Struthio camelus: one gene and its partners. The protein of the gene in region 1 purifies or fractionates together with the protein of each later gene. This does not show direct contact. Links are inferred from orthologs where the notes say so. Each region holds a gene or a part of one and is shown on either strand. Other genes may lie near its edges. The genes, in order: AMOTL2, NF2, PALS1 and LATS2.

The links.
Region 2: the proteins of AMOTL2 (region 1) and NF2 purify together in Homo sapiens (affinity purification with mass spectrometry; 5 studies listed by BioGRID and IntAct, with this or other methods). This does not show direct contact. The link is inferred for Struthio camelus from reciprocal best matches to the Homo sapiens genes AMOTL2 and NF2.
Region 3: the proteins of AMOTL2 (region 1) and PALS1 purify together in Homo sapiens (affinity purification with mass spectrometry; 3 studies listed by BioGRID and IntAct, counting the BioPlex papers as one, with this or other methods). This does not show direct contact. The link is inferred for Struthio camelus from reciprocal best matches to the Homo sapiens genes AMOTL2 and PALS1.
Region 4: the proteins of AMOTL2 (region 1) and LATS2 purify together in Homo sapiens (affinity purification with western blotting; 3 studies listed by BioGRID). This does not show direct contact. The link is inferred for Struthio camelus from reciprocal best matches to the Homo sapiens genes AMOTL2 and LATS2.

Annotation. Positions count from the first base shown.
Region 1 is NC_090950.1:2,975,177-2,982,818, reverse strand, and holds the start of AMOTL2 (angiomotin-like protein 2), read left to right. Parts: upstream 1-4,625; 5' UTR 4,626-4,762; intron 4,763-5,251; 5' UTR 5,252-5,334; coding exon 5,335-6,077; intron 6,078-7,642. UniProt on the Homo sapiens protein: Regulates the translocation of phosphorylated SRC to peripheral cell-matrix adhesion sites. Required for proper architecture of actin filaments.
Region 2 is NC_090958.1:5,129,446-5,136,720, forward strand, and holds the start of NF2 (merlin), read right to left. Parts: upstream 3,002-7,275; 5' UTR 2,882-3,001; coding exon 2,768-2,881; intron 1-2,767. UniProt on the Homo sapiens protein: Probable regulator of the Hippo/SWH (Sav/Wts/Hpo) signaling pathway, a signaling pathway that plays a pivotal role in tumor suppression by restricting proliferation and promoting apoptosis.
Region 3 is NC_090946.1:46,765,847-46,772,788, reverse strand, and holds the start of PALS1 (protein PALS1), read left to right. Parts: upstream 1-3,932; 5' UTR 3,933-4,138; intron 4,139-6,942. UniProt on the Homo sapiens protein: Plays a role in tight junction biogenesis and in the establishment of cell polarity in epithelial cells.
Region 4 is NC_090942.1:203,549,138-203,556,193, forward strand, and holds the start of LATS2 (serine/threonine-protein kinase LATS2), read left to right. Parts: upstream 1-4,050; 5' UTR 4,051-4,290; intron 4,291-7,056. UniProt on the Homo sapiens protein: Negative regulator of YAP1 in the Hippo signaling pathway that plays a pivotal role in organ size control and tumor suppression by restricting proliferation and promoting apoptosis.

The DNA of each region.
Region 1 (7,642 bases):
ATGCTGGACCTCTGCATCCCAGCTGCGCAACGAACTCACCCCTGCAGCTGGGGGCTCCAGCCCTGCCTGGAGAGCAAAGCGACAGCAGGGCCCTGGACAAGAAGTCCCTACTCGGCTGGAGACCACGTGAGGTGGCGAAGCCTTGCTTGCTGCTGGCCTTATTCTCTCGGAGTAGTGTGTCCATCCACGCGGCTCCTGGGCCTCAGCTGGTCTTTCCAGATTCAGCATGTGTTTGGGGACGCAGGGACGTGGCGGGAACAGTGTCGAAGAGAGAGACTTCTGCGTGCGCCCTCCTCTCTTCCCTGCAGAAAGGCAGCGGTAGGACCAGTCACTGCTCAGCTGCAAAGGATAGACCTGCAGCTGGGTTTTGGGGTATCGCCTTTACTGGCAAGCCCTGTGCTGATTTCCACCCGCTGAGAGGCCAGCTGGGTGGATTTGACATGTCATCAGTAAAAATTGGCGCTGGAAGCTCTTGTTTCTTAGCCCTTTTATTGTTTGATGGCCTCCCAAGCGCTAAATATAGGCTCAACACCTACATCCCCGGGGATGCTGTAAGGCTGCGTTATGCAGGAATCCAGATTGATCACGCTGGAGTCACAGCGTCTGGTCTCATCTGCCCTGACTTCTGGCGCCCGTAACACTACATTCCTCTTCCTCCAAGCACATGTCCCGTCTCACAAACTCCACACGCACCTTCACCGTGCTCCTCAGCTCTGAATGCTTTCGTGGTTTTACATCACCACTACCAAGCTATCCAGCTCCGTTCGGACCCTACAAAGGACTCATGGAAGGGCTCACTGGGGAAAGCTGAGTGATTTTCAGACGTGTGCTGCCTTGCTCTGCAGTGTCCTGGGCACGCATCTGTCACTCTCCCAAGTGCAATCCCCGTTGTCTCTTCCAAGGATGCTGCTCCCCACCTGCTTGTGAAACTGAGGCTCCAAAGGGGCTTTGGCTCAGTCCCAGGGCTCTGTGAGCAGAGACTTTCCCCCTGAGCAGCTTGTCCTCCCCTCTCTGCCCCGAGCCCCCTCCTTTATCCACAGAGACAAAACTTTCTTGAGGCTGGAAACAGCAGCCTGGAGCAGCAACGGGGCTCGCTGAGGAGTCTCCAGTTAGACACCGAGGCCTGGACGAGGCTAAGGGGTTTTGTTCCGTGTTTGGAAGGTGCTGGATTCCCTCTCTCAAGAATGGGAGCTTAACGTCCCGTATCTAATTAGCAATTTTCCCTGCACCTGCCCCTCTGCCCGCCCCCCCCTCCCCGCCAGCCCTCTGACCATCTGCCGTCTCTGAGCCCTGCAGACAGCAGCAGTGAGCGATGCGTCTCAGCGGCTGCTGGGCACGTGTGTGGTGCGGGAAAGCTGCTATGAGACAAGAAGGGGCTGCCCGCTCCTTCATGCAGCCCTTAAGACCGGGAGAAAGGCCAGAGCCCAGGACGCTGCTCCCTGCTGCAGGCTGGGACACAAAGGCTGCAGCACTCAGAAGACAGCTGCAGCTAGTCCTCTGCATGAGAATCACCAGCCAAAGTCCTGAAGACTGAACTCGGTCTTGTCATTTTGGTGTCCCGACTCACGACGTGGCCACTGGGCACCGATGTTTAGTGGCAAGCACAGCCAGCGCTATGCAATGAGTTGTCTGGGTCGCAGGGCATCGGCGATGCCCAAGCTCCTGCTTGGCACTTCTGGCCTGCTTCAAACTCTCTCCAGTTGCCCTGAGGGTTTTGGCTCTGAAGAGACTAAACTGATGCTGCTCCCAACAACCTCCTGTTTCTACTTGAAAGCAAGTAAAACAAGGCAACTTAGAGCAACCAATGGACCCTTTAATCGGCGTAGTTACTTTGCCTTGCCTGACCCCGCCACCAACAATGTGGTGCCAGGAGTCCTTCAGGCCAGGAAAATGAGGCTGACTGAAGCATAAGTGGCCTTCTCTAAGGCTGGTTCCCAGCATGCGTCCACGGGCAAACTCTTCTCCAGCTTGCCAAGCCCCAGGCCCTGCACAAACAGCCTCAGGGCTCCTGGCCAGCTCATGCCTTGAGACAGGTCTTGGAGGAAGGTGTTGCAGGACATGTGCCCAGCTAAGGACCTCACTCCCTTTGGGGTTAGGATTTGGGCTGTGACTTGAGCACCTTCGTGTTTTCAGTTGACTTCCAGGGTGCTAGGGAAAGGCCGAGATGGGACTTGCATTTCTCTTCTGTTGGTCAGCGTCTTATTCAGCACGTCTTTGTATCACTCACATACTTGTTTTGGGAACGGACTTATCTGTGGTTATGGGTTCTCTTTATTTCCCCAAATATGAGCTGGGGCTCTGAGGTTTTGCAACAGCCAGTGTTATTTTCCTGGCTAATCCCCATCCAGCTGCAAGAGCCTTACTTCTCCCCTCACCGTGCTTCCCAGACACAAATTGCTCTCCGTAAATCAATGCTCAATGCTCTCAATGCTCTCAGTCACCCCTGTGACTGCATGCAGGTTGTACCAACCCTGCCAGCTGTCTCCAGTGACAGTACCTGGCCGGGGAGCTCCTGTATACTGGGGTGCTGACCTGTGGCGGGTTATAGCCAGAGGACCACTGGCCTGGTCACCCTCCCTGTACTCCCGCAGAGTCTCTGCCACAGCAGCGGTGACTACACTGTTCCTGAGGCAGGTCCCATGGGATCCCTCCTTCCAGGCACCCCTGATTTCAGCTCCTCCTGAGGCCTACGTAGCCTCAGCGCTGCCGGGGAGGGGGAACCCAGCACCCTGGCAGAGTACGGCTCTGGCCAGGAGTTTCTTGGCCCTCCTGTGGCATGTGGGGCTGCAGCTCCATCCCAGCAGCAGCACAGGAGGAAAATGAGTGCAGTCTCCTGATGGGAAGGAATGGCTCCCTCCGTCCCCCTTGCTGAGATAACAGGGGCAGAGGGGGAAGAAATATGCAGCAGGGGCCACGCAGAGGGGAGGAAAGGGAGTTAATCTTTGACCTGAGGTGAGCAAATTGCTGCCTCTGCGTCCCCCTTCGCATTGTGCGGGGAAGGGGAGAGGAAATCGCCACATTCCAGAAATTACCAAGTCAATGCAAAGCCAGCGAGGGGGCCGGGGCCACCTCTCCTTACCCACCAGGCCTCACCCGAGCTGCCCGCCTGTGGCGCAGCAGGAGGCCGAGAAACCGAGGCCAAGCCCAGTGCAATCAGGCTGTCAGCGCAGCGCAAGCCTGGTCCTTGTAAGCATCCCGACCGTGGCTGCAAGGAAGGGTGAGCTCCCACCATCTCTCTCAAAGGCAAGAGGCTGGGCAAGGAGATCAGCGCAACCACAGAGGAGAGGCTGAGCTCTTCCCAGGGCCCACAGCACCGTGCCGGCGCTGAGGCATGCAAAAAGATGTAGGGCTTCGCAGTCAGCGCTCATGTTTCCCGCCTGCTGTCACGGATCAGGCACCCTTTGAGGGTCCCTGGCTCTGGAGACCTCCTGACCTGCCTGCCGCGAGTAGGAGAGGGTCCCGTGCAGAGGAAGGATGCTGGGGGCACCTCTCCGCTGTTTGCTCTCACCTCCCCGTAGGCTTGCAGCCTCAGAGCAGCAACAAGGCCAGAGGTAAAAGCCCTGCTCTCTGTTGCTCATCTCTCTGTGGCTCATCCTGTCTCCCCTCCATCTCTCCCCCTGCCTCCATCCACTTTCCACGCCTGGACAGCCAGTGTGACAGCCCGAGCAGAGCGCGTCCCACGCTGTCCATGCCAGGCCACCCCGCTCACTGCCTCACCCTGGCATCTCCGTACCCTTTTGCCTCCTCAAAGAGCAGAGAAAACGATGCCTGAAGCAGCCCTGGGAAGGCCCCAAGCATCTGCGCTCCTTGTGCTCACTGCGAGTTGACATCACCTACCCGAGGGGGGGCGGCGAGGAAGGGAGGGCCGTGGTGGGAGGGGAGCGTGAAGGCGAAGCAGATGGGGCAGGCAGGTTTTTATCGGGCTCATTTGGTGTTAGAGACAATGGAGTGTCTCTCAGAGCCTTGATTAAACAAGAAGTTTTATTCTCCTGGACAGCTGGCGGGCAGAGCCTGGCTGCCCCCCCCGCATGGAGCGCGTGCCCCCCCCCACCCCGGGGCAGCTGCAAGCTCCTCGCACACACGCAGCGTGCGGGGGCCCCCCAGCCCTCCTTGCCCGCCCCCCAGTGCCACACTGGCACGTGCACGGCCCCCAGCCCGTCCCCTCCACCCTGTGCATGCTTGCCCAGGGCCCGGACCAGCTGGGCACCACCGGTGGTGCCACCACCAGCTCCCAGCTGTTAGTGTGCGTCGTCCCCGCGCTCGCCACGCGCTGGAGGGCTGCAAAGCGCTGCCACACCCGGCCTTATCCAGCTCCGGTGGGTTTTCCCTCGAGTCCTTGCGGGATCTCCACGCGCAAGGCTGGCGGGGATTTTCTAGCCCTCCGAACTGGAAAGCGGGCTGGGATGAGGGACCGCAGTACGCTCGGGGTGCGAGCAGGAAGCGGGAGATGGATTTCTCTCCTTTCCGAGCTGCGCGTTTGCAGGTCCGCCCGTGGCCGACTCCGCTGCAACCCCGGCAGCCCTGCCTCAGTTTCCCCGGGCGGCGCGGGGCCGCGCCGAGGCTCCCCCTGTCGGCGGCCGCTCCCGGCCCGGCCCGGCCCGGCCCCGGCCCCGGCGGCGGCGGGCGGGGCGAGGCGGGTCCGGCCCCGCATTCCTGGCATAGCTGGGCCCGGCCCGGCCCCCGGCTGCCGGCGCGGCGCGCAGTGCCGCCGGCCGCGCTCCCCGGGCAGCACCGTGGCCGCGCTGCTCCTCGCCATGCTGCGGTAAGTGTCGCCCGCCCCGTCCCGCAGCGCCGCTGCCTTGCCCTGTGCCGAGCCCCCCCCGCCGGGAGCCCGGCGCCTCCGTTGGGGGGGGGGGGGGCGCTGCCTGCGGCTTTGCTCCGACTGCTTTGCTCCGTTTCTGCGGCGGCGGCGGCGGGGGTCGCGCTGCCCCGGCCCGGCCGGACGAGCCCGCAGCGCCGCTCGCTCGGGGCTGGAGGGTGCGCGCCTTCGCCGGGAGCCTGCCAGCTGGCTGCAGCCCGCAGGCTGCGAGGAGGGGGCCGGTGCTCAGCCCTCGGGCTCGGTGGAGGCTCCGTCCGCCCTCGCGCTGACGCGGAGGGCTTCTGCTTGGCCAGCGCACCCCGGGAAATGGATGCCTGCCAGGGCGCCCAAGCGGGATTCCTGGAAAACAAAACCCTTGGAGAGCGTGCATTAAGAAGCTTTTGCTGTTTCCTGCCTGGGCCGGTTCCTGATGTCCCTTCTCTCCCCTCACAGGTGCCTCAGCGTGGCTAGTTGCCGCTAGATCGGGGGACATCTTTCTCTGGTGGAAGTGGAGGCTGCCAGCTGAGCAGGCAGAGATGAGGACGGCAGAGGATTCAACCGGGACAGTTCTGCACCGCCTCATCCAGGAGCAGCTGAGATACGGAAACCTCACTGAGAACCGCACGCTGCTGGCTATCCAGCAGCAAGCCCTGCGCGGAGCGGGCGGCACCGGCAGTCCCCGCTCCTCTCTCGAAAGCCTTACCCAAGAAGAAAGCCAAATGGTGCAGCAGTCCACGCGGCAGGAACCCCAGGGCCAGGAGCATCACTCCGACCACGTCTACTTGGAAAACAGCCTGTATCGGCTCTACCAGCCCCAGCACAAGGGCGAGGAGCTTCCGACGTACGAGGAGGCCAAGGCTCACTCCCAGTACTATGCCTTGCAGCGGGGTGGGCAGCAGCCTGGGGGGGCCTGCCAGGCCGCTCCTGGCGAGAGCGGGCAGCGCAGGGCCGAGAGCAGCGGCAGGCGCCCGGACGACTCGCTGAAGGACCTGAAGCACGGCCATGTGAGGTCGCTGAGCGAACGCCTCATGCAGATGTCCCTGGAGAGGAACGGGGCCAAGGCGCAGAACCACATGAGCTCTTCTCACAGCTACCCCCAGCTTTCCAGGCACTACCAGCTCTCTGCCCTCAGAGGCCACCACTCCGAGGGGACCGAGCCACGGGGACCTCCTCCAGAGTACCCCTACGTCCTGCCTTCCCAGGACGCCTCGGTTGCTTACCTGGCGGATCCCAGACCCTGCTCGCGGGAAGGTCCTGCATTTCAGCACCCTGACATCAGGTAACCTACAGCCCCTTGCACAGGTGATGAGCTCTTCTGGGGGTGCAGCGTGCTCAGGAGGTGACTCCCAGCCCAGTGTCCTGTCTGTTCTGGTGCCCCTAGCGCACGGATAAGCCAGGGTTTGCGGAGCACGAAGATCCTAGGCTGAAGTGGCTAGCCACAAGTTGTGCACCCAGAGTGGGACGCAGTCTGCGCACCCCAGAGAGCGATGGGAGCTTTGGGTGCTCTACGGCTCACCACTCCCTGGAGGAGAGGGCTGAGCCAACTGGGCACATGGGGCATGCAACAACCTCAGCACCACTGCTGAACTGCTCATTCTCACAGCGCTGGATTCGGATTAGCTCAAGGCCCCTGCACCAGGTTTTGTGGGGGCTCTGGGAGCCATAGGTGCCCCTGTTGCTCACCTGTGGGGCACCATCTGTACCTGCTGACCACACCAGTCCTCTCATCTCCCTATTGAAGTGCCAAGGCCACACTTGCCCTTGGTGCAGCCAAACTGGAGGTCAATTTTTCCAGTTGGCAATGAAAATTCAACTGCCTCCAAAGATCCTTCCCCCCCCCCCCCCAATGCTCTGGACGGAATTTTGGGTTAATTTAGGAGCTGGAACCAGATCAGGAAATGGCTAAATTTGGAACAGGCATGGGCCAGGGTGGAAGGAAAATGTACTCACCACTCCATGGAAACCTGTCCTTGTGGTCCCAAGCTGGGGGGAGTCTGCAGGCTGATGACAGAGCAAATAACGCTGGCACAAAGAGAGCTGCATGCTGTCCAAGGGAGAGAGGTTAGCACTGGATTGACGTGCTCTCCATGCCACAGGGGAGTTCTAGGGAAGCTGATGAAGGCCTCTCTCTCTGCTCGATGGAGCTATGGGCTGGTGAAGGTTGTTAGTGGAGCAGATAAAAAGGCACAGGGCAATTTTCCTTCCTTTTAGTGTCTTTACACTGCTGGCAAAGCCTGGCTCTGCCGTCCTCAGGTTCTTTCTAACAGGGCCCACGTAAAAATCTGCTAGGGCAGCTCTGGGAAGCACAGAGCATCAGGCCTTCAGCCGGCATCTGGAGTGGGCTTGCTTCTACTGCTGCACAAAAAGAGGGACAGAAGAGAGTTGCAGGTTGCTGCTGCACTGGGGGAAGGTGGAAGCGCGCACCACGGTTCCTGCCTCGCTGACCTAGCCGGACAAAAAACGATAGCATCTCTGGCAGGAAATGTTCTCTTTCCAGGGGAACAAAGAGGGGAAGGGGAGCTGCAAGGGAGATGTATTTATTCTTTCTTGCTCCTATATCATCCCGCAGGAATGCGGTCGCTTGGCGGCCAGCCGTTGGCAGAGCCCGGCCGGGGTCCCGTGCCGCGCCGGCTCCGGCAGGGCGGCCGCGCGGCGTTCTGGGGATTCCAGGCTGCTGCTGGGACGTCGAGGAACTCGGAGCAGTTGCTCCAGTGCGGGACGTGGTGGGGAGGGCGGCAGGGGAGCCAGGCCAGCCCCTGCTCACCGCGTTCAAAATATAATAAGGATGTATTCGTAGTCTCTTGGAGAGCTCTTTTAGTAAAGAGCCACCCGGGGAGCCTGCGC
Region 2 (7,275 bases), on another chromosome or scaffold:
TGAATCTTTAAAGTGAAACCCCAGCTGTGATTATTAAGTTCCATCACAGCATTACAAAGATTAAGATCTCATTTCTGCGCATTACTGCGGATTTAGACTCAATTTAGGGACATTATTTGCAGAACAGACAGATGCAAAGCAGGTTTAATCTCCTGAAATGCACAGCTGGGGATTCCTACAGAACAGATTTAAAAATGAGCACATTAAAAAAAACGTGCTGAGCAGAGTGGGTGAGCTTAAGCCACCCGTTGTACTTCCCGCCGTGAGGGAGCCAGTTATTGATTACTGCTTCTTCAGCCACACTGGCTCAACTGTTTCCACCAAGCCCTGGGCACCCTTAATGGCCTGGGCCTCCACTGGCATGTCCTCAAGTTGTTAACAATATCACAGGGCTGGGAAGCCCAACTGATGAAAACACACAGTAGAAAGCTGTGGAACAAAATATATATTTAAAAAAACAAACAGTCATACTAACGCTGCACAGAAAGGCAGGAGCGGAAGGGCAGTCACAGCAGCGGCTGCCTCCGCTGTTCAGAGGAAGGACAAAGATCCTAGGAGGTGGAGGGGATCAGGGACACGAGACACCAGCGAGGAAGGGTGACACAAATTGGCCAGCTCTGCCTGTAGCAGAGCCTCTCCCCACCGAGGCATGGCAGCCCCAGCACCAGGAGGGTTGCCGTGTTTATTATGGGTCCTGCGGCTGGAGGTGAACCAGAGGCACAGCTCCTGTTCCAAGGGACCTGCAGCCTTGGGGAGGAACTGCCAGCCCCTTGTTGCCTGCTGGCTTCATCCCGCTGTGGGGCCAGGAGATGACTGGAGAGCGGCAGCAAGGATGGGGACAAGCACATGGAGGAACAGCCTGGAAGCAGCAGCGATCCCCTCTGTCTTCCGCCCAGCCAGGCTCGCTGGGAGAGGATGGCTCATCGGCGATCCCCGACTCCTCCTCGGCACGTTTGGACAGGGTGGCTGCAGACCAAGCGAGTAGACACGCAGCTCGACTAGAACTCCCACCTCACCTGCACCAGACACAGCGCGAAACAGCCCCGTGACCTCCCCGCTTTGCTCCAATTTTCCCCAGGTCGAGCGCTCCTCTGCGCTGAGGGATGACAGCCAAAGTCCCACTGCGTCCTTCACCAGGGGAGCAGAGCAGCATCCCTCCCACAGACTCTCAGTCCTTCCTGTGCACAGAGAAGCCCATCGGCAGTAACAAGCTTTTTGGGCAGGAACCTCCCTGACAGGCTTTTCTTCAGATGCACGAGTTGCACATTTGAACCCAACCCGAGCGCGCTGCGTTCCCCTGTCAGAAATACCTGAAGCCCAACATGAAAGGACAAGTGGCCATACTATTAAAAAAGAAGTACGTCCTTTTCTTTATCATTGGCAGCCTCAGGAAAGGAGGCACGAGGCAAGCCAGGACGCTTCACCTCTCCTGGCAGAGTGATGGTGGGAACCTCACGCCACTGTGGGTGAAAACAAATCCTTAATCTCTGGGAATGGGAGGAAGCTCCGCAGAGCTGACAACACATTTCATCAGCAAGAAAGCTTACAAGGGCAAATACCTTTTCGGTTTATGGGCACTGGAATTGCAGCAAAATTTGGATCAGATGAAGAACCTTTCTTTTTAAACTAGTTTATGTTTTAATCTGGGTAGAGTTGGCTTTCAGTCATTAAGCGCCCAACTTAGAAGCCCAGCTGATCATGTAAAAACAGTGATTACAAATTAGGCTCTTAGGAGCTGATATCAGCCCCCAAGGGAAGAGTGCCAAGGAATTATCAAGGGCCAGAAAAAGAAGGTATCAAAGAAAAAGATAAACAGATGAGAAGTGAAGATCAGAACATGATCTTGTGCCTTTGCAAACACATTTCATCCAGCGGATGGAACGGGCAAGTCATATAGCATTTGAAAATTTTGTTTTCCTGAGTGTTTTAAGTTGAATCCCTATAGATTTAAGCCTTGGCACCCAATATAACTCAAGCTCTAGTCTCCTCATGAGGCCTGCTGATCAGCAAGCAGCTTAGTTACAACAGTAAAGTAAATCCGAGATACAAATGGTCTATTTTCCTTCTCTCATACCTCTCCAAAAAGTTATCTTTGTGGACTTACACTTTTCGTGCCTGCTCTCAGCTAGGCTATAACGTACGGAAAGCACGAAAGCACGCAGACGCAGGGGCTCACCTTCCCTTTAGGCCAGGGTAAGGCAGCGGCGCGGGGCACTGAGCAGCAGCTTCCCCACTCTTAGTGACAGCCCGCCGCTGGGTTTGCGCCTGCTTCTGCTCCCTGCGTGCGGGGAAAGCCCAGACGGCAGCCGCCGGCGCGGCGGGAGAGGCGGCGGGCTGGCAGCCCGCTCCCAGCAGCGAGCCGCAGCCTCCGGCTTTCGCAGGGTCTCCTGCGGCCCCGCAGCCCGGGCCGCCCCGGGGGTGGAACCGCTGCCGCCGGGGCCGCGGCTCCGCGCTGGAGGCGACGGGAGGGAGCGGAGGCTCCAGCGGGGCCCGCAAACCCCTCGGCCCCGACGGCGCGGACCGCGGGCCCGGAGCGGGCGGCAGGGCCCTCCCGGAGGCGACGGCCCCCAAAAAGGAGCGGCGAGAGGTGGCGCGGGGGCGAGAGGGGGGCTAACGAGGGGGAGGAAAATCCCCAAACGGGCAACGCCAGCCCTGCCCGGCGGCGGTCCCCCCCCTCCCCGGGGGGTGTCGCCATGGCCCCGGGGGGGGGGGGGCGCCGCGGGCACAGGGGGCGGCGGCGGGGGGGGGGGGGGGGGGGGGCCGGTACCTCGCAGCTGAACTCCATCTCGGCGTCCATGGTGACGATGCGCACCGTGAAGGTCTTGGGCTGCTTCCTCTTCAGCGAGCTGAAGCTCATGCGGGAGGCGATGGCCCCGGCCATGACGGCGGCCGGGACAGGCAGGGCGCGGCCGCTCAGCGCTGCGGGCCGCGGCGCCGGGGCAGGGGCCGGGGCAAGGGCAGGGCCATGGCGGCGGCGGCGGGCGGGCGGGTGGGCCCGGGGGCGCCCGGGGGCCGCGCAGCGCCGGGCCGGGCCGCGGCGGAGCCTGCTGCCCGCGGCGCACCCTAGCCGCGGCGCTCCGCCATTGGCCCCGCGCGCAGGGTTGTCCCGCCCCGTAGCCACGGGTCGCGCTGGAGCAGCCGCCAATAGGAAACTTGCGCGCGCCCCGCCATGGTCTTTGCTTGCGAGGGACGGAGCAGCGGCTGCTGTGATTGGACGGGGCTGCCGCCACTCACAGGGAAGAGGCGGGCTTACTAGAGCCCCGCGCATCTGCCCCGCAGGTTGGGTTGAGAGGCAGGGCGGCCGATGGGCGCTGCGCGGGCGCCCCCTGGCGTCGAGGGGGACCAGGCGCTCCCCGGCGCAGGTCGAGCCCCAACGTCGGCGCGGCCTCTGTGCGCATGCGTACGAGGTGGAGGGCGGTTTTTTTTTTTTTTGGGGGGGGGGGGGGGATGTGCAACGGGCTCTAGGACCGTGCGGTGATTCCCGCCCCGGGATCCTGCCCCGGGATCTGCGTGCGCCCCCTGCCCCAGGATCCTCTACTGGGATCCTGCTGTGGGATCCTGCCCCAGGACATGCCCCGGCATTCTACCCTGGGACTGGCACTGGGATCCAGCCCCGGGATCTGCCCCGGGATCCTGTACCAGGATCTGCACGGGGACCCTGCATCTGGATCCTGCACAAGACCTGTCCTGGGATCCTGCCCCAGGATCTGCCCAGGGACCTGTCCTAGGATTCTGCCCTGGGAACTACCCTGGGATCCTATAGCAAGACCTGCACTGGGATCCTGCTGTGGAATCCTGCCCTGGTACCTGTCCCAGGATCCGGCATCAGTGATCTGCCCTAGCATCTGCCCCGGGATACTGCCCTGGGATCTTGCCTCAGGACCTTCCCTGGGATCCTCGCTCAGGATCCTACAGTAGGATTTGCCCCGGGAACTGCCCTGAGATTTGCTCGAGGATCCTGCCCCGGGATCTGCCCCAGGACCTGCCCCGAGATCTTGCCCTGGATTCTTTCAGCAATACTTGCACTGGGACCTGCGCTGGCATCCTGCCCTGGGATACGTCCTGGGACCTGTACTGGGATCCTGCCTTGGGATTTGCCCCGTGACCTCACCTGGGATCCTGCACCAGGATCTGCCCCAGGATCCTGCACTGGCATCCTGCCATGAGACCTACCCTGGGATCCTGTCCTGGGACCTGCACTGTGATCCTGCACCAGGACTCTTCCCTGGGATCTGCATTGGGATCCTGTCCTGGGATCCAGCAGCAGGATCCTGTCCCGGGATCCAGCACTGGGATCCTACCCCGGGATCTGCCCCGAGACGTGCCCCAGAATGCTGCACAGGGATCCGCTCTGGGAGCGGTCACCGGGAGCCGCCGATCCCTCCCCACGGCTCCGGGCAGCGGGGCCGCTCGCGGGGACCCAGGCGTCCGGGAGGGAGCCGCAGCTCGGTGAGCGGCCACGGTGCCCTGCAAGCTGGGGGTGGGGAGGGACGCGGGGGACACGGAGGGAGAAGGGGGACAAGTGGGGAGCCAGGGGACAAGGCAGGACACAGGGGATATGGGGGTACATGAGGAATATGCGGGAACAGGGGGGACATGTGGGGACACAGAGGGCAGATGAAGATAGCAATGGGGCAGGAGGGGGCTATGGGGCAGGAGGGGATTATGGGGCCAGAGGGAGCTATGAGTCCCTTAGGTGAGCAGGGCCCCAGACATCACGGTCCCTGTAGGAATGGGGCCCGGACGCCTGGGTCCCTGTGGTGAGGGGGGACCCAGATGTATCGTACATGCCAATACTGGCCTCTATGAGCTCGTGTGAGCCTGTGCCAGGATCTATGGGCTCGTATGGGCCCATGCCGACCTTTATCAGCTCATGGGCTTGTGCTGGCTTCTACGGTCTCATATGGGCCCCTGTCGAACTCTCCAGGCTCCTACGCACCCACGCTGGGCTTATAGGCTTGAACGAGCTCGGCATGGCTGTGATCTCATACGGGCCTGTGCTGGCCTCTGCTGTCTTGCACGGGCCATTGCTAAGCTCTATGGGCTTGTATGGGCTTGTTCTGGCCTCTGTGGTCTCCTACCTGCCCATGCCAGGCTCCATGGTCTTGTACAGGCCTGTGCTCATCTCTACAGGCTTATATGGGCCCATGCTGGTCTCTACAGGCTCGTAGGAGCTTAAGCCAGCCTCTATGGGCCCATTTTCACTTGTGCCGTCCTCTATGGGCTCGTATGCACCCGTCCTGAGCTCTACAGGCTTGTAAGTACCCGTGCAGGGCCTCTATGGGATCGAACATAGCTGTACCCACCTCTACGGGCTCGTACGTGTCCGTACCGGCCTCTACAGGCTCGTACAGAATCACAGAATCACAGAATCGTTTAGGTTGGAAGGGACCTCTGGAGATCATCTAGTCCAACCTCCCTGCTCAAGCAGGGTCCTCTAGAGCATACGGATGCCTACTGGTCTCTAGGGGCTCGTGTGCACCCATGTCCGCCTCTACAGGGTCAGACAGGTCCGTACTGGCTTCCACAGACTCGTATATGTCCGTACCAGCTTCTACGGGCTCACGGGGGTTTGTGCCGGTCTCTACAGGCTCGTACATGCCCATGCATGCCTCTACAGCCTTATATGGCCTCATATGCATCCGTGCCAACTTCTACAGGCATATACAGGCCCGTGCAGGGCCTCTACACGATCATATGCACCGGTATGTGCTGACCTCTGCAGACTCATTCAGGTCCATTCTGGCCTCTATGGGCTTGTAAATATCTGTACCAGCCTCTACAGGCTTATATGGGTTTGTGCCAGACTCTATGGGCTTTTATGCACACATGCTGTCCTCTATAGCCTTGTACTGGCCCGTGCTGGGCCCTGCAAACTCGTACGCTCCAAAACCAGCTTCTGCAGGCTCATACGGGCCCGTGCAGGGCCTCTACAGGATTGTCTGCGGCCGTGCCTGCATCTGTGGGCTTATACAGGTCCGTACTGGCCTCTATGGGCTTGTACAAGCCTGTGCTGGCCTCTATGGGCTTGTACGGGACTGTGCCAACCTCTATGGGATCGTACACAGGCGTGCCCCGGCCTCTGTGGGCTTGTATGCGCCCATGCCGACCTCCACGGGTCATATGTGCTCATGCTGGCCTCTACAGGCGTGTACACATCCTTGCTGGCGTCTACGGGCTCATACGCACCTGTGCTGGCTTCCATGGGCTTGTATGGGCCCGTGCCATCTCTATGGGCTCATACAAACCCATTCCAGCCTCTGTGGGATCATACACGCCCGTGACGGCCTCTACAGCCTTGTATGAGCCTATGCTGGCTGATACTGGCTTGTGTCGGCTTGTTCTGGCCTCTATGGGCTCGTAGGCACCCGTGCCAGCCTCTGTGTTCTCATAGGCACCTGTGCCGGGCTCCCTGGCCTTGTGCAGGCCCATTCCAGCCTCTACAGGCTTGTATGTGCCTGTGCTGGTCTTTACAGGCTCATAGGGGCTTAAACCAGCCTCTACAAGCCCATTTGTGCCCATGCTGTCCTCTACAGGCTCGTATGCACCCATAGCGGGGGCTTGTAGGGGTCCCTACCAGACTCTACGGGCTTATATAGGCCCTTGTCAGGCTCTACAGGTTCATACGCATCCATGCCAGCCTCTAAAGGTTTGTAGGTGTGCATGCTGGCCTGTATGGGCTCATATGGGCTCATGCCAGTCTCTACGGGCTCAGGCTAGTCTCTGTGGGCTTTTATGCACCTGTGCTGACCTTTATGGGCTTGCAGGGGGTCTGTACCGGCCTTTACGGACTCATATGCACCCGTGCTGGTCTCTACAGGCTTGTAGGGGCTTGCACTGGCCTCTATGGGGTTTTATGTGCCAGCGTTGGCTGCTACGGGCTCATAGGCACCCGTGCTGGGCTCTATGGGCCCATACGCACCTGAGCCAGTCTCTTTGGGCTTGTATGGGCCCATGCACGGCCTCTACAGGATCGCTTATAGCCGTGCCCGCCTCTGCAGGCTCTTGCAGGTCTGTACCGGCCTCTATGGACTTGTACACATCCGTACTGGCCTGTACAGGCTCATACACACCCATGCCTGCCTCTGCCTGGATTATATTGTATGGGCCCATGCTGAGCTCTGTGGGCTTTTGCGGGCCTGCACCGAGCTCTATGGGCTTGTACGTGCCCTTGCCAAGCTTGTACAGGCCCCTGCCAGCCTCTGTGGGCTCATACTGACTCGCACCAAGCTCTACAGGCCTTGTCCTGACCCGTACCGGCCTCTACAGGCTCAT
Region 3 (6,942 bases), on another chromosome or scaffold:
GAAATGAAATTGGATTGCTCTATTAATTTCAAGGTTCAGGGTTTCTGCTGCTGGACTATGGGGGCCAAGAGAGATTTTTTTTTTTTCTTTTCTTACTTAAAACATAATTTAGCTTCTGCACTTTTAGTGATCTTTCACTCTTCTTTGAAACACTAAATACTGGATACAGCTGGCCCTACAGGTGCACTAGTTGATGTGTCTTGCTTACATGCTCAGGGTTAAACTGGTCACTAGATTTGAGGCCCGGAGAGATCAGATTGCTATAAATCAGAGCGGACAGGCCACTGTGGGATATTTTCATTTCCCCTGCAACACAGGGAGGATAGGTAGGAGAAGTCTAAGAAAGAAGGAGCTTGCTCTCATTTATTTTCAATTAAAGGAGACATTAAAATGGGAAGGGAAAAATCCTTATGAAGTCCTTGGACACAGGAGGAGAAGAGCCTATTTATATAGGTGCCAGTCATGAAATTAGAGAGCTAAAAAGAGGAGAAGACGATTTCTCAAAACCTCGCAAGAATAAAAGATCAAAAGGGAAAGGGCAGTCAAGATAATGAAGAAACAGCAGAAAGGTCAAGAAAGAGGATGGAACACAGACCCCGCCTTCAGGTAGGCAAGAATTCTTCAGGGATTCCATTAAAAATGTTTTGGCAAATAAGAGGGATCACACCAGTTTGGAAGGGATCCAAGTTGAAGTTGGAAGAGAAAGTACATCTGTTGTAGACTACATGTTCGGTGAGTTCAGAGATGAAGAGTTTAGAGATAAAGGGGAGGAGAGTAATGGGGCAGATAGATGGGGATTTCTTCTCCTCCAGCCTTTACTAACACAAGCACTGTTGCCACCGTGGCCCTTCTGACTTAGCATTCCTTTTTGCATCAGCCTGTAGAACCGCTCCTGGACGGTAAAACATAAATTCAGTTATGCAGTGATATAAAAGGGAATTTCTACCTAGTCCTTCTGTGATTTTTCATTCCCCCTCCAGAGGGCAATGGTTTCAAAGAAAACAGTTGGTCCTATGTTAGCCTCAGGACTCAACTTCACTGTCAGAAACATTTTTTTTTATTGATTACAATCAGCCAGATTTAGAATGATCAACGGTTATAGGAGTACCCTGCTGGGAGACAGTGATCCTAACTCACTTAAAAGTTATTTCATCAAAGATAAGCATTTTCTTTGTAAACGAATTTGTTTGCGGAATGAAAGAAGGTTCTACTTTAATAATAAACTAAGTTGCTTAAATACATTGGTTCTGTAGCTCCAAGTATGCTTTGATGATCCCATAATGACTGACAGTAAAGCCATTAGGAAGTGCATCTCTAAAATCAAAATGTTCAGGCTCCAAACTCATAAAAGGCCTCAACTGTGTGGGTATTTCTTTTCCGATTATCTTTCACCTGAAGATAATCATTAAAAGCTTTGAAGAAGAAGGGATGGAACAGCAGAGGCAGTACTCTGGTAAGTAATTTTCTGATTTCCATTAAGAATTGTCTTAGTAGATCCTCATATCAAAGATCAGTCAGCTAAGACAAAATAAATAGAGACTTTCCCCATCATTTTTCCATTTCCCTCATCTTCCTCATTCTCCCATTTGTCCTCTTTCTTTGTAGCTCTTGTTTTTAATTTGCCTGTTTTGTTAAATTCAAGCTGGAATGTTGGTTTTCCCACAGCAATTTTTGTGTTCTTCAGCATACTAATAAACAGTACCCACAAGGCAAAATGAACTGGCATTTAGATCTGTTCATTTAAATTGCTATCACAAAGATTTAAAGGAAAAGGTTATCTGGCTCTTTATGAATAATGCTGCTGATCCTGTGCGCTATTGTGAAACCTTTTTCAGGTATGACAATTTCTTGGTCTGAGAGAACATTTTAATCTGTTGGGTAGAATTAGCCAAGCATGCCTCATTCAAGCATCTTATGAATGGATTTGCCAGCTGGGCAAAGGCTAATATTAGGGTTTGTGAAAGCCTGAGGGAGGAGATTGGTTACCAAAGAAACAAACGCATCTTTAAGCAGCTATATTCAAGAGAAATCCCAAGCTCAGCCTTAACCTGGTCTGGCAACCCTTGAAAAGGATTAAAACTTTAGCTACAAATATAAGATAAGAGAACAAAGGAGAGAAATAGAAAATCTAAACTGGTGCGAATGTTTCTCTGATCTGTGATAAACTGCGTAACATTTTGAAGAAAACTCCTGTGTTTAAAAACTGGCTTTGGGCAACACACACACTAGAGGCACTGAGATTTTCACTGAGAGTGACAAGCTGTCAACTGAGGGAAGCTGTAACCAGAACTTGTGGCTTTTTTAGTCTGTTCACACCAAACTTTGATAGAGAAAAGAGAGTAAACCAGCGATCGGTTTGGATGAGGATGAAGACGAGACCACTGAATAGCCAACTGCTAAACGTAGACACTTTTTGTAGCTATTGTAACCTCTAAGCAAGTATCAGATTTTGAGGAAGTCTTTTTTGGTTCTCAGGTCCTTTCCCAAAACAGTGTGTAAAAAAGGGTTCACGTGAACCCTCACCATTTTCATACGAAGGTGGAAAGAACTACTTCTGGTGCTGCTCAGCCATGAGTTAGTACTGTAATGTTCTCCCTCCGTTTCCTTTGCAAAGTAAGTAATTCCACAGTCCACCCATATTGCTATTTCTTGTACTGCTTCACTTTTTCCACTCCTGCTCACTTGATTCAAACGCCCTTGTTACTGAACAAGGTCAGAGCTGAAACAGTTGATTCTGATAGTGAAGAGACATTGCTGCTCTGAAAATGAAAAACTCCAAGGGAGCCTGAGCCACAGTGTGAAAAGGTCTTAACAGTGTCCTCTGCAACTGACCGGACAGGACGTACATTAACGGCAGGTCTGTTGGCCATGTCATATGCTCAGGAATCATGGAATCTGGTTTTGTGGCTTAAACAGAGAGAATCTGCGTGTTCAAAAGGGATCCAAACAAAACATGGTATAGGAAGGCAATTTATAGGAAGTTAGAAGTGTGGATTTCATAACTGAAAATGATAGAGTTGTAATGATTAAACTGAAGCAAGAAGAGATGGGCAAAAAGGAGGTGTCTCTTTAATGGCTTTTTAGTGGCCTACGAAACTGTTTTTTCTGGCCTTGTTATGTGGAACTAGCTACCTTGGCAAGGTCAAGTCATCTCAGACTGCTGTATTTCTTTTAATGCCTCAGGCAACGGTCTTCGCAGGCTAGCCTGAAAAACAGGGGGCGGGAATGCAGTTTTTAGTTCAAAGTCAAACTAAACTGCAGCGCTGAAGATGTATTTCCCTGGTCTCGTAAAGCAGCCACGGTTATAGACCTGGTAAAACCGTGTTTAATGACCTCTTCCCTCCACTCCAGACAGCGGGTCTGTGCCTGACCCTCTCCCTGCTCTTCCAAAGCTGAATCTCAGAATAAGCATTTTTCTTCCCGTAACAGTCCGACTCGGCCTTCGGCTGGGATTGCGAGGCGACAAGGGGAGACGACGGGCAAGGAAGGGACGGCGGCGGCAGGCAGCGCCCCGGGCCCCCGCCAGCCCAGGCTGCCGGCGGGAGGCTGCAGGGCGGCGGCGGCGGGCGCAGGCCTCGGGGAGGACGGAGCCGCCCTTCAGGGAGCAGCGGCTCCAGCTGCGGTGCCCCGGCGCGACCCAGCGAGCGCCGCGCAGGGGCGGCACACGACGCCGGCGCCACGGAGGGCCTGGTTTCCGCCGTGCCCCCCGCTCGCCTCTCGACGCGAGCCGCCTGCAGCCCTCGCCCGCCCTGGAGTGACCATGACGGCAGCCGTTGGCGGCCGCCGCCCTCCCTCAGCGCCCTCCCCTCCCCCCTCCCGCGACGCGCCCCCTCAGCCGGGCGGCTCGCGCGCCCCCGCCGGTTGCGGCGGGCGGTGGGCGGGTCCCGCGCGTACGTGCGTCGGGGGGGAGGGGGCGGGGCGGCGGCGGCGCTGGGAGCGGGCGCGGGGGCGGGGCCGGGCCGGGCTGCGTTTGGCGGCGGCGGCGGCGGCGGCTGCGCAGCTCGGTGGGGCTGGAGCGGTAGTTGTGTCTGTGCGTGCGCGGGCTCGGCGCGGGGACGTGCGGGCGGCCGGCCGTGACTCCCAGCCGGTGGCTCGGCCGGAGCGTGACGACGGCGGCGGCGGCGGCGAGGAAAGGACGGTGAGCGCAGCCCGCGTTGCGGCGCGGAGCTAACAGGTCCCGGCGGGCAGCCGCCAGCCCGGGCTGGCTGCGGAGCCTGGCCGGCGGCCCTGCCCGCGGCGCCCGCACGGGCCTGCGCCTCCGGCCGCGCCGCGCCGGCGGCCGAGGCGGCCCTCGGGGGGACCGGGCAGCGCCCTGGCCGCGGAGGGCGGCCCGGGGGGGCGGCCCTGGCCGCGGTGGTCGCAGGTGCCTGCGCCGTTGCCGGGAGCGCGTGGGGCGGGCGGCGAGGGGGCCCGGCTCGCCCCGCCGAGAGCTTCCCCCCACCTCCGCCGCCGCCGTGCCGGGGCGGCTGGCCGGGGCAGGCGTTGCGAGGGCAGGCCGAGAGGTGATAGGAAGCGGCTGTTCTTCGCTGTGCTCTCCGTGAGGTGGCAGGAGTGGCCGTTTTGTTTGGGTGGGGGGGTGGGTGGGGGGGTTGTTTGCTTTGTTTTGGTTTGGTCGGTTTTGTTTTTGTTTTCAATAAGGGCGCACTTAATGCTTCTCTCCCTTCTTGCACTTCCGATCTGCCGGCAATTCCGTGTTTTGGAAACTTTTGTCTCTGTAAAGAGACCGCCGGTTTGTGGAGCTTCGCAGGATTAGTTTAAAGTAGGTTGAGTATGCCCTGGACTGCCAGTGTAGTTTAATGATCTGCAGTGGGGAACGCGCGTATTGGTGAGGGCGCGGCGGTACTCTGGAGGCTGCGCTGGGAACGTCCCTGCCCCGGCGGTGCCCTCCTGCCGGGAGCCCGGGCAGGGGTTGCGCGGGCAGGCGGCAGAGAGCACGGTGACTTGGAGCGTGCGACGTCAGCTTGCGCGAGTACCTTAAAGGACTTTGTATTTGGTCGAACTGAAAACTGTTGATATTTAAAAAAAAAAAAAAACTGTCCAAAATAATGACTTTAATGTCTCATAGGTGAGACAGACATTCTGGGGGAAAAAATTGAATAATCAGGAATATGAAAAGGGGAAAAGTCAGCTTGAAGCCCTTATAATTGAAATGTTTGGGCATAAACTAACTGCATCAGTTAGAAAAATACTTGTGTTTTGCATAACTGGACGTTGTAGTCGAGCTTTTAAAAAGTGACTGGTGTTTTTCTTTAAGTGTCTGCCGCGTTGGTGCGCAGCTTCAGGCGTCTTGAAGGGGCCTGTCTGTCTCTTTGGAGAATTGGGGTGTTTTTCCTGAATTTCCTAAGAATAGGATATCTTTGATGTGTCTCTGGTTAGGCGTCTGAGCCTGTAATCTTTTCTTTTTGATCTGTCATCTGAATTTTCACAAATGCTACTTCTTTTTTCTCATAATCACCTTAGAACTGTAGTTACACATTTAAATGTCCAATGCTGTAGAGTGTAGCTGTGTTTTGTACATATATTAACTGTTTGCCAACATACTGTGATCCAAAAACCCTCTGTATTTTACATGCTAAGCTGATGGTTTAACAAAGCATCAAATATTTATATTGCAGCACTTTGTGAACCAGTGTACTACAATGTTAAATTTAATTAACATTACTCTTAATACACGATCACTCTTTTCAAAGTAGCCCTTTCAAACTTTGCCTCCTTCTAATGTGTATCATGTGTCCTTACGGAGTATGGAATAGTTATGGGTGGTAGTTTGTGTTCTGTAGGAATTAGATGATGGTAAAGGTGGTGTTTTTACTTAAATTTTACTGAATTTGCTTTCACAAGATCTGAACTTACTTTGAAATGTAAATCAAAATATTTCTTCAGTAGGCTGACTTAGCTGTCTTAGGAATTTGCAAGAATTATTCAGACCATTGAGGGGTGCCGGGCAAGCAATATGTGATGTAGAACCAGTAAAAATGTAATATGGAGGTTAGCCTTTGTACCGAGGATTATGGACACATAAAACAATGTAATCTGAAGTTTATGTGTGTCTGTATATTTTTTTCCATGTAAATAATTATATTTTCATAACACTTTATTTGCTGCTTTGTAATCAAAATCTCTTACTATAGTGAGTTTGAAGTTGCAATCTTTCAAAAATCCTGCGGCATTTGTAGATGTAAATTCTGTTATGATGTTTCCTTAAAGACTGACGCTTAACATCAAATAATAAAAGTTGTAACTACCTGTTTCAACTATTCAGATTTCCCTAATTTGCACTTTTGATTAACTACATTCCTAATAAAATATTAGGCTTTAGAGTTCTGGTAGCTAAGAGTTCAAACAGTCCGCTGCTCCTTAGAAAAAAGGATCAGTATTTGTGTTCGTATGTCAAATTTAAAGTTCTTAAACTTTGTAGCATCTGGCCATTTAAAAAAAAAAACTTCTTAATGTGACAAGTAGTATTATAGAAAGGCTTGATATTACGGTGTTTGGATAATGGGCCAAGTGAGGCATTTGTGAATTTGAAAAGATATGCTGGTACATATGTGATGGAAACTGACTTGGTGGAAACACGGCCTATTCTGTAATTTTAAATCAGGTGTGCTGTAAAAAGTATTTTTCTAGTATAATTATCTACTGAAGCGCTTTATCCAGCACAGTGCTTTATCCAGTTCTGGCGGAATAAGTGTTTTATGTTTATGTCCTCCTCCCCACGCTTCTGACATAACTATGTAGTGAAATACTTTAAATATAATTCAAGTTGAAATGTGAGGCAGATTTCTAAACAAAAGGAAAAAATTATAGCCAGATAAGTTATTTATATGCCAGGATATTTTCAAATAAGCTTTTTTCTTTTTAAAGCAGTTGTGATATACTATGCCTATCTATTGATAGACACTTGTTTTATAGTCCCGAGGATGTCCAATTGCATACTAATGA
Region 4 (7,056 bases), on another chromosome or scaffold:
CGGTAGGGCCTTGAAAACTTGGCCAGTTCCTTCGCAAACAGATAGTACAGCTGGCTTCTGTTGGTTAAATACCACACAAAATCACGACGTTCCTTCAGCCCTCTCAGGCGCTGCTTGGGCTCCTGCTGAAGTCAATGATTGACAAGAAGTGTGGGGCTGGGAGCAGAGTACATAGGAACATGGGTCCTTGGGAAATCCAGTGTTTTCAACTTTCTGAGTGAAGACTATAATGGCAGCCTGAGCCTCCAAAATGCCTTTCCCAGTACAGTGAGCCTGGGTTCATGCTTTGTCTGCAAAGTGGAGTCAACTTCAAGGTCAGATTTGTCCTATTTCATCTGCTTTGTGCTGAAATCAAAGGTAGTTCTAAAGTACCAGTGCTTACATTCTCTTCACCTTTGTCATCCAAACAGAGCATCACGATGGATCTCATAGAAATAGTCCTGATATAAAAAGCACAGCTAAATCAAAGTTAGAATTTAGTTATTTGTATTTTCACCCATCCAGTTACTGAACCATCGAGCCTGACTTTGACTGGCACGAGTGTCACTTTACATCACTGTTGAGCATACGTTACATTCACACGCCTAGGTTAAGTTTCCTATACTCCACCGGAGAACTGAAAATCAGAACTCCTGTTTTTAACTGGTTTTGCATTGGAGATTCGGGAAGAATAATTGCCCAGTATCAGTAAACAAAATAGATGTTTTTAAAACAAGAATATTTCCTTGCTTACCTAAGTCTTCTTTCCTTGCACATCATTCATTTCATAAACCAGTGGTTTGTTCTAGACATGTTCTCATAGTGAAGGATGTCACTGTCTGCAAAATTGTTTGTGTGTGTGCTTGTGTGCTTATACACACATATGCTCACATGTTCATAATCCTTTTATGTATGTGTGTGTGTGTGTGTGTGTGTGTGTGTGTGTGTGTGTGTGTGTGTGTGTGTTTCCTCTATGAAAAAAGACAGGCAGAGGATTAGACATCGTGGGTGATATTCTTGCTTTATCTTTCTTTTTCAAGTTTTCTGAATGGTTTCAAAGTAGCTTCTTGACTACTAGTACTGTGCAAAGAAAAAGTTCATCCACCCACTTCACAATTATTTGGTTGCTAGGAGTATTTTTAGCAGCACGATTTGGTAATTGGTTCAAAATATAATAGTTTAGAAAGAGTCACACTGTGGCCCAGCTAATGGTGATATAAGAGTACGGGGAGGGGAAAAAGCTACTCACTGCATTAGATGTGAGGGGATGGAAGTGAGTTGCACAGAGCTCCTGCTTCTCTCGCTGTCTCAGGTGGGTGGAAAGAGAAGGAACGTGAAACCCTGGAGCCTTGGTCCCTCCCACTGTACCCACATAGCAGGGCAGACAGCTGCTCAGGCAAGTTAAGAGGTGAATGCTATAATCATCATAGATCCAGCAGAGTCACTCACTTGAGCAGAGCCATGGATAGAAACACTGCCCCTTACTCATGGTAGATTATTATCTCATGGTCTAGTCTGCTCATACAGACAAACGGTATTGTTCTTTTTATGTAGCATCTTTCCTTCCGGCAATATCTGACTGTGTAGAACATAGTCAGGAGGAAAGACTTGAATGGTACACAGTAATCTCCAAATACTTACAGAGATCTAATCATGTTTTAACGGAGAAGTTGAATCATGTTACAACTTCCATTCCTGTAGTATTTTTGAGGAAGATGATTTCTAACAGTTTGGGTTTCTCAAGGCTAACAGCAGAAAGTCTGAAGAGGCTGCCAGTCTGCGGTGGACCAGCCTAATATGGGTACTTTCTAGAGAGCAGATGCAAGCCATCTCTCTTGTACCTGTGGCTCTGCTGCCCAGATCCAGACCCAGCAGCTCTGGCCAACACATGGAATGCAGAAAGTGGAGCTGGATCCGAGGGGGGGAAAGCAGTCCAGCTGAGTTTCATTTCCAGATGGACTGGTATGCAAAAGGAAAACAAATAGGTTTGAAGGAGAAAAATAAAAGATCTCTTTTACCTAGATTTAATAATGCAGATGACTGCCACATCTTAAGAAAGGACATATTAGCACACAGTAAGCATTTTTTATCTTGATGCTGTTCCTTTAAGGCAGCCTGAACTTTATTGGGAAAAGGTCTTAAGCCATTGAGCAATCCCTGGTTTGGGCAATCACGTTGCTATACTTCATCAGTTAAGTATAGCAGTAATTCAGAAAATGAAGCCATGCCGCATCTGTCATATCATTTAAAATTTACTTCAGTTCTGCAGGTATTTGAGGATTGCAAAATGAGCCACTTTACCCTGCACTAGTCTGTCAGCATTGGAATCTGCTCTGAACCTAATGGGTTTCTTTAGCTCCCTAGAGTTGGAGGTTTCCTTCCTCCTCCCCCTGGAACATATTCCAGTCAATGACACTATTGAAATTCTGACAGTAATTTATATACAGTAAGCGGCTGACCTCAGATGAGACACTGAACAATTCCTGTGCACCAGGCGGCATTTTTCTCATGAAATAACGGCAGTTTATTTGCAGTCACTTACCATTAATCCCCCTCTCCTCCCAGACCAGCGTCATTTATAAGCACTATTGACAGTTTGCGTGATGGAAATTAAAGAAAAAAAAAAAGATGACAAACAAGCTTAAAGAAATAGCCTTAGACAGGACCGTAGATGAGTAACATTACTCACAAAAATAGTGCCCTTGGCTTTGAAGAGGCTGTAAATATAGCTCCCATCCTAGAAAGACAGTTATGCGCAGACTTTTCTTTATATACCCCCACAGTCCTGTTCAAGACAGTGGGACTCGTCACATGATTAAAGACGACCGTGGGTCTTCAGCACTTGCGGGACTGACATTTCCCCTCATACTGTCGACAACTTTCCCTGCCAAGCGGCTCTTGCCGTGGCTCAGACACAGTTCCTCCTCACAGCTCTGTACCAGAATTTCAAGCATTTTCAAGTTTCATTTCAGGACTGCAGGCTTCTTCCACGTTAATGGTCTGAAGACACACATTTATGTATATATTTACTTTCTCATTGTTCTTAATTTGTATTCGTATCCTCTGGTTGTTGCTAGTGTCGGGGTCTGTGACACTGAGGGGCCAGAATCAACCTCCTTCCCGGATCGAAACATGGCTATGTTGAGGGGGACAGAGACAGGGACACCGATCTCTGGTTGATAATCGGTCTTTACGAGGGACCAAAGAGAGCTCTAACATCAAAACACCCCTGCTTTCATGAAAAACAGGCTCAGCTCCAGGCTGCTGTATCCGTAACGAGGTCCGACGCAAGCTTTGCGACCAAAAATCCCGACCGAATTGCGACTGAATTTTTGATCCAGAAGCGAGCTGCCTGGCTGTCCCGCTACTACTGCTCTGGCACCTCGCAGCACCCTTGATCCTCGTGATGACAACAATAAATACCCGAGTAGAAATAAACAACCTCCCCCAAAGAACTCAAACCAGGAAAAAAACTCAAAAAATCCCAAACAGGCACTGATTTCGAGCTAAACTCACCCCCCCCCAGTAAAAAAAAAAAAAACAAAGCGGCAGGAACACGTAAGGAATAACAGCAACTATAATTCTCATTTTAAAACTCTCCGTTAATAGGAGTCGTGGGAGTCCCCTAAGCCGAGGGGACCTTCTTCACCCCCTTCCTAAACCGTCCCAGCGCCATTCCCACCCCTGCGGCCCCGAGGTGCGGGAGGGCGGGGGAAGGCGGTTGGGGCAAGGCAGGGCCGGTTCGTCGGACGGGAGCAGCGGGGAAGAAGATGGCGGGGGGGGGGGGGAGAAGATGGCGGGGGGGGGGGAGAGGGAGGGCAGTGAGGTGGGAAGGGGGGAGTTGAGAGGGAAGAAAGCGCCACGAGCTGTCTTTAAACGCAGGGAAGGGCGGCCCTCGGGGGGCGGGGAGGGGGGGGAAGCGGAGGGCGGAGGGGGGGTCCCCCCCCTCCGCCCTCCGCTTCCCCCCCCTCCCCGCCCCCCGAGGGCCGCCACAGCCCTAACGGCCCTTCCCGCCCTGCCGCCTCGAAGCCCCTCCCCCCGCTGGTATGTGCCGGGAGGGGCGGTGGCGGTGGGGAGGGGGGGGGAGTGGAATGACGCGGGCGCCCCGGGGTCACGTGACGCGAATGGAATGCTAACAATGTAGCGAATGTCCCAACTGTGCCCTGCACTCGGCGCCCGCCACGGCCGAGGGGGAGAAGATGGAGACCGGCCCGCGCCGTCGGGCCCGCGGCGCCCGCCGCCGCGCCGCTCCCTGACGGACCCACCACCACCACCGCTACCCCGGCGGGCGGCGCGGGGCACCCCGAGGTGGTGAGCGAGCGAAAGCGCGGCTTCCTTCCCCCCCCCCCCCCCAACCCGGGGCTTCTCCCCCACCGCCGGTCACCGTCGGGACGGGGTTGTTGGGGGGGGGGGGGAAAGTTGGAAGGGGCCAAAAGAGCGGCCGCCAGAGGGTCGGGCGCGTCGGCCGGCGGCGGGGCCGGTGCCGGGGCTCGGCTGGCTGCGGCGGGTGCCCGGGGCAGCCTCCCTCGGCGCCCTGCCCGCGCCCTCCGACGTGTTTGCGGCCCGAGCGGGCAGCCGTGTGACAGCGCCTCGCCCGGAGGCCTCGGGCGGCACCGCGAGGGAGGCAGCCGGGCCGGGGCCGGGTGGCCGCGGCCGTGCTGATGCGGGGAGGTTTCAGCGGGGTGCTCGGCGCTGCTGGTGCCGGCCCCGCCGTCGAGGGTGTCCCGGCCGGGTTGGAGCCGCCGAAGCGCCGGGGGGAGCCCCGCGCCGCTGCCCCCGGCCGCTGCCAGGCAGCTGAAGGTCGCCGCCAAAATTCAGGTGGCTCCCGAGCGGGGTGGGTGTGTTGATGCAAGCGCGTACCCGCTGAAAGGCACTTGCGCGAATGACGCAAAAAAAAAAAAAAGGCCAAAAACAAACAGTAGCAAAAAACCCCCACCCAGCCCCGTAGTGTCCAGGTGGTGCGAGGGGTCACTCCGCTCCGCTGCGGCCGGCGAGCCCCCGCCCGTAGCGCCGGCTTGGGCCGGGGCTCGTGGTTGCCCCGGGACGCAGGCGCGGAGTTACTTTTGGGCAGTTTCGTTAGCAGGGGGAAAGGAGAGGTTTGGGAAAAAACTGGGGGATTTTTTTTGGTTTTTTGTTTTTTTCCAGTTCTCCTCACCGCTTTTGGTGTGCAAAGGGGAGCGTGGTTTGTACGGGGGTGAAATGCCAGGAACCCCCCGCCCCTGTGAGTCCTGGACCTTTTAGTACAAAGCAGGCAGTTCCCCTTTCCATAAGTTTGTAATGCAGAAAAAAAGAAAAAAAAAACAATAGCTTTAATTTTAGAGAGAGAAGGTTATTGTGGCAATTTCTTCAAACTTCATTCTTTCCTTCTGCAATGCTAGTTCACCTGACCGCAGTGCCTGCAGGGTTTTATAGGCTTGGAAGCAGGTTGCCAGTTTGGGGTTTGTGACTTTGCTCTCGAAACGCAGCTGAAGCTTTAGTTTGTTTTGCGTTTCCCAGTTCCGCGGAGCCACTGGCACGTGAAGCCAGTTGGTGAATGAAGGAAGCGGAGGGAGAATAGCTAGCGGGCTGAGACGAGACTTCAGCATTTCACTTCTGTGTGGTTGGTTGTTTACTGGCAGAGCAGCTATTAGTATTTCTCAACTGAAGAAGAAAAATCACTTATTCAAAAATCATTTTAACTTGGTGTAGTTAAAGTAATGTTACATTTATTTGAAATGAATCTTAAAAGAGTAATGGTCAAGCTTCTAGTTCGTGCAGAGTATATCGTGCTTCAGGGAGGGGAAAAAAACCCTACTGTTTAGTCAGAATAGCTTGAAGCTCAAAAACAATTCTGAAAAATCATTTCTCGTGATGGCAGAAGGGCTATTGGTGGTACATCCATGTGGTAGGCAAGGTGAAGATTAGAAGGATACGAAGTTATCCAAATCCAGATGTACAGTCAGAAATGCTTAGGCAGAATTAGATACTCTCTCTCTATTTTTTTTTAAGCATAAAAGCCTCTTTATTTTTTTCTGAAAATACAAATCACAGGAAAATTTTTAAAAAGCAGGCAGCTTGTCTTTCTCTGTAAATCATCTCTAATGCCTAAATGTTCCAATTTCTTACGTGTTTAGTTAAAAAACCCTTCTGCAAAATATAAAACACATTTACAGTTAGCTGCGGTACTTAACTGCTGTTGCTGGTCTCATTCATGCTGCCTAAACAATCAGCATTACATTTACAACACTGCTAAACCCGAAAGAAAGCTGCAGAAGCTTCCAGCTGGCCTGACCTAGCATTATTAGACTCAAGCTTAGGCTAAGGGTCACAAAAGTTGTTTATGTGAAGTGTGTGTGTAGGTGGGAAACCAGTCCTTTGCTGTAAAAATGTGGGGGGATTGCAGGCTTCTCCAGCACATCCCTGGCCTGAGCATTGGCACAGGGTCTGAAGAGAGGAAGAAAACCCAGATCCCTAAACCCAGCCATGTGGTGCTTGCTGCTGTCAGGAGAGGAAAGACGGTTATAGACCAGTTAATTGCTCTGTATCATTTAATTAGTAGCTAGTTAAGATGTATTCCTAGAAAGGCTGCAATGCTATTGATTAGCGATACCGTTTTTTTAAACATTCTTTTATTAAAGCTGTGTACTAGCTGCTGCTATATCCTGTCTAGGTGGACAAAATTCTGCACTTGGGATTCTTCAGTTCCCCTGATCTTCACTGAGAGCCATGAACACATAGCTGATTTATTGCTTGCGGAAATACCAAAATACAGATGAACAGCTTTAACACTTTCCTTAAAACAAAGGACAAACCTTGTCAAAGATGCTTGTGGACACGTGTGCCGCTTTTAGTCTGTATGAGTTAGGTTTGCAGGATACCCTTAGAGAATAGCAAGTGGAAGAGCTCACTACCTCACAGATATCCTTTAGATAAGCTTCAGAGCGCTTAAACATGAGGAAAAGAAATTCATATGGGTGTCCTGTGTCACACACATTCTCAGTCTCAGCAGGTTGATGCTATAGGGCTTTGCTGTAGAGCTCTACTACTCTACAGAAATTTCCCATAAAAGGGGTGTATGGCATGCTTTCTAACGGTATG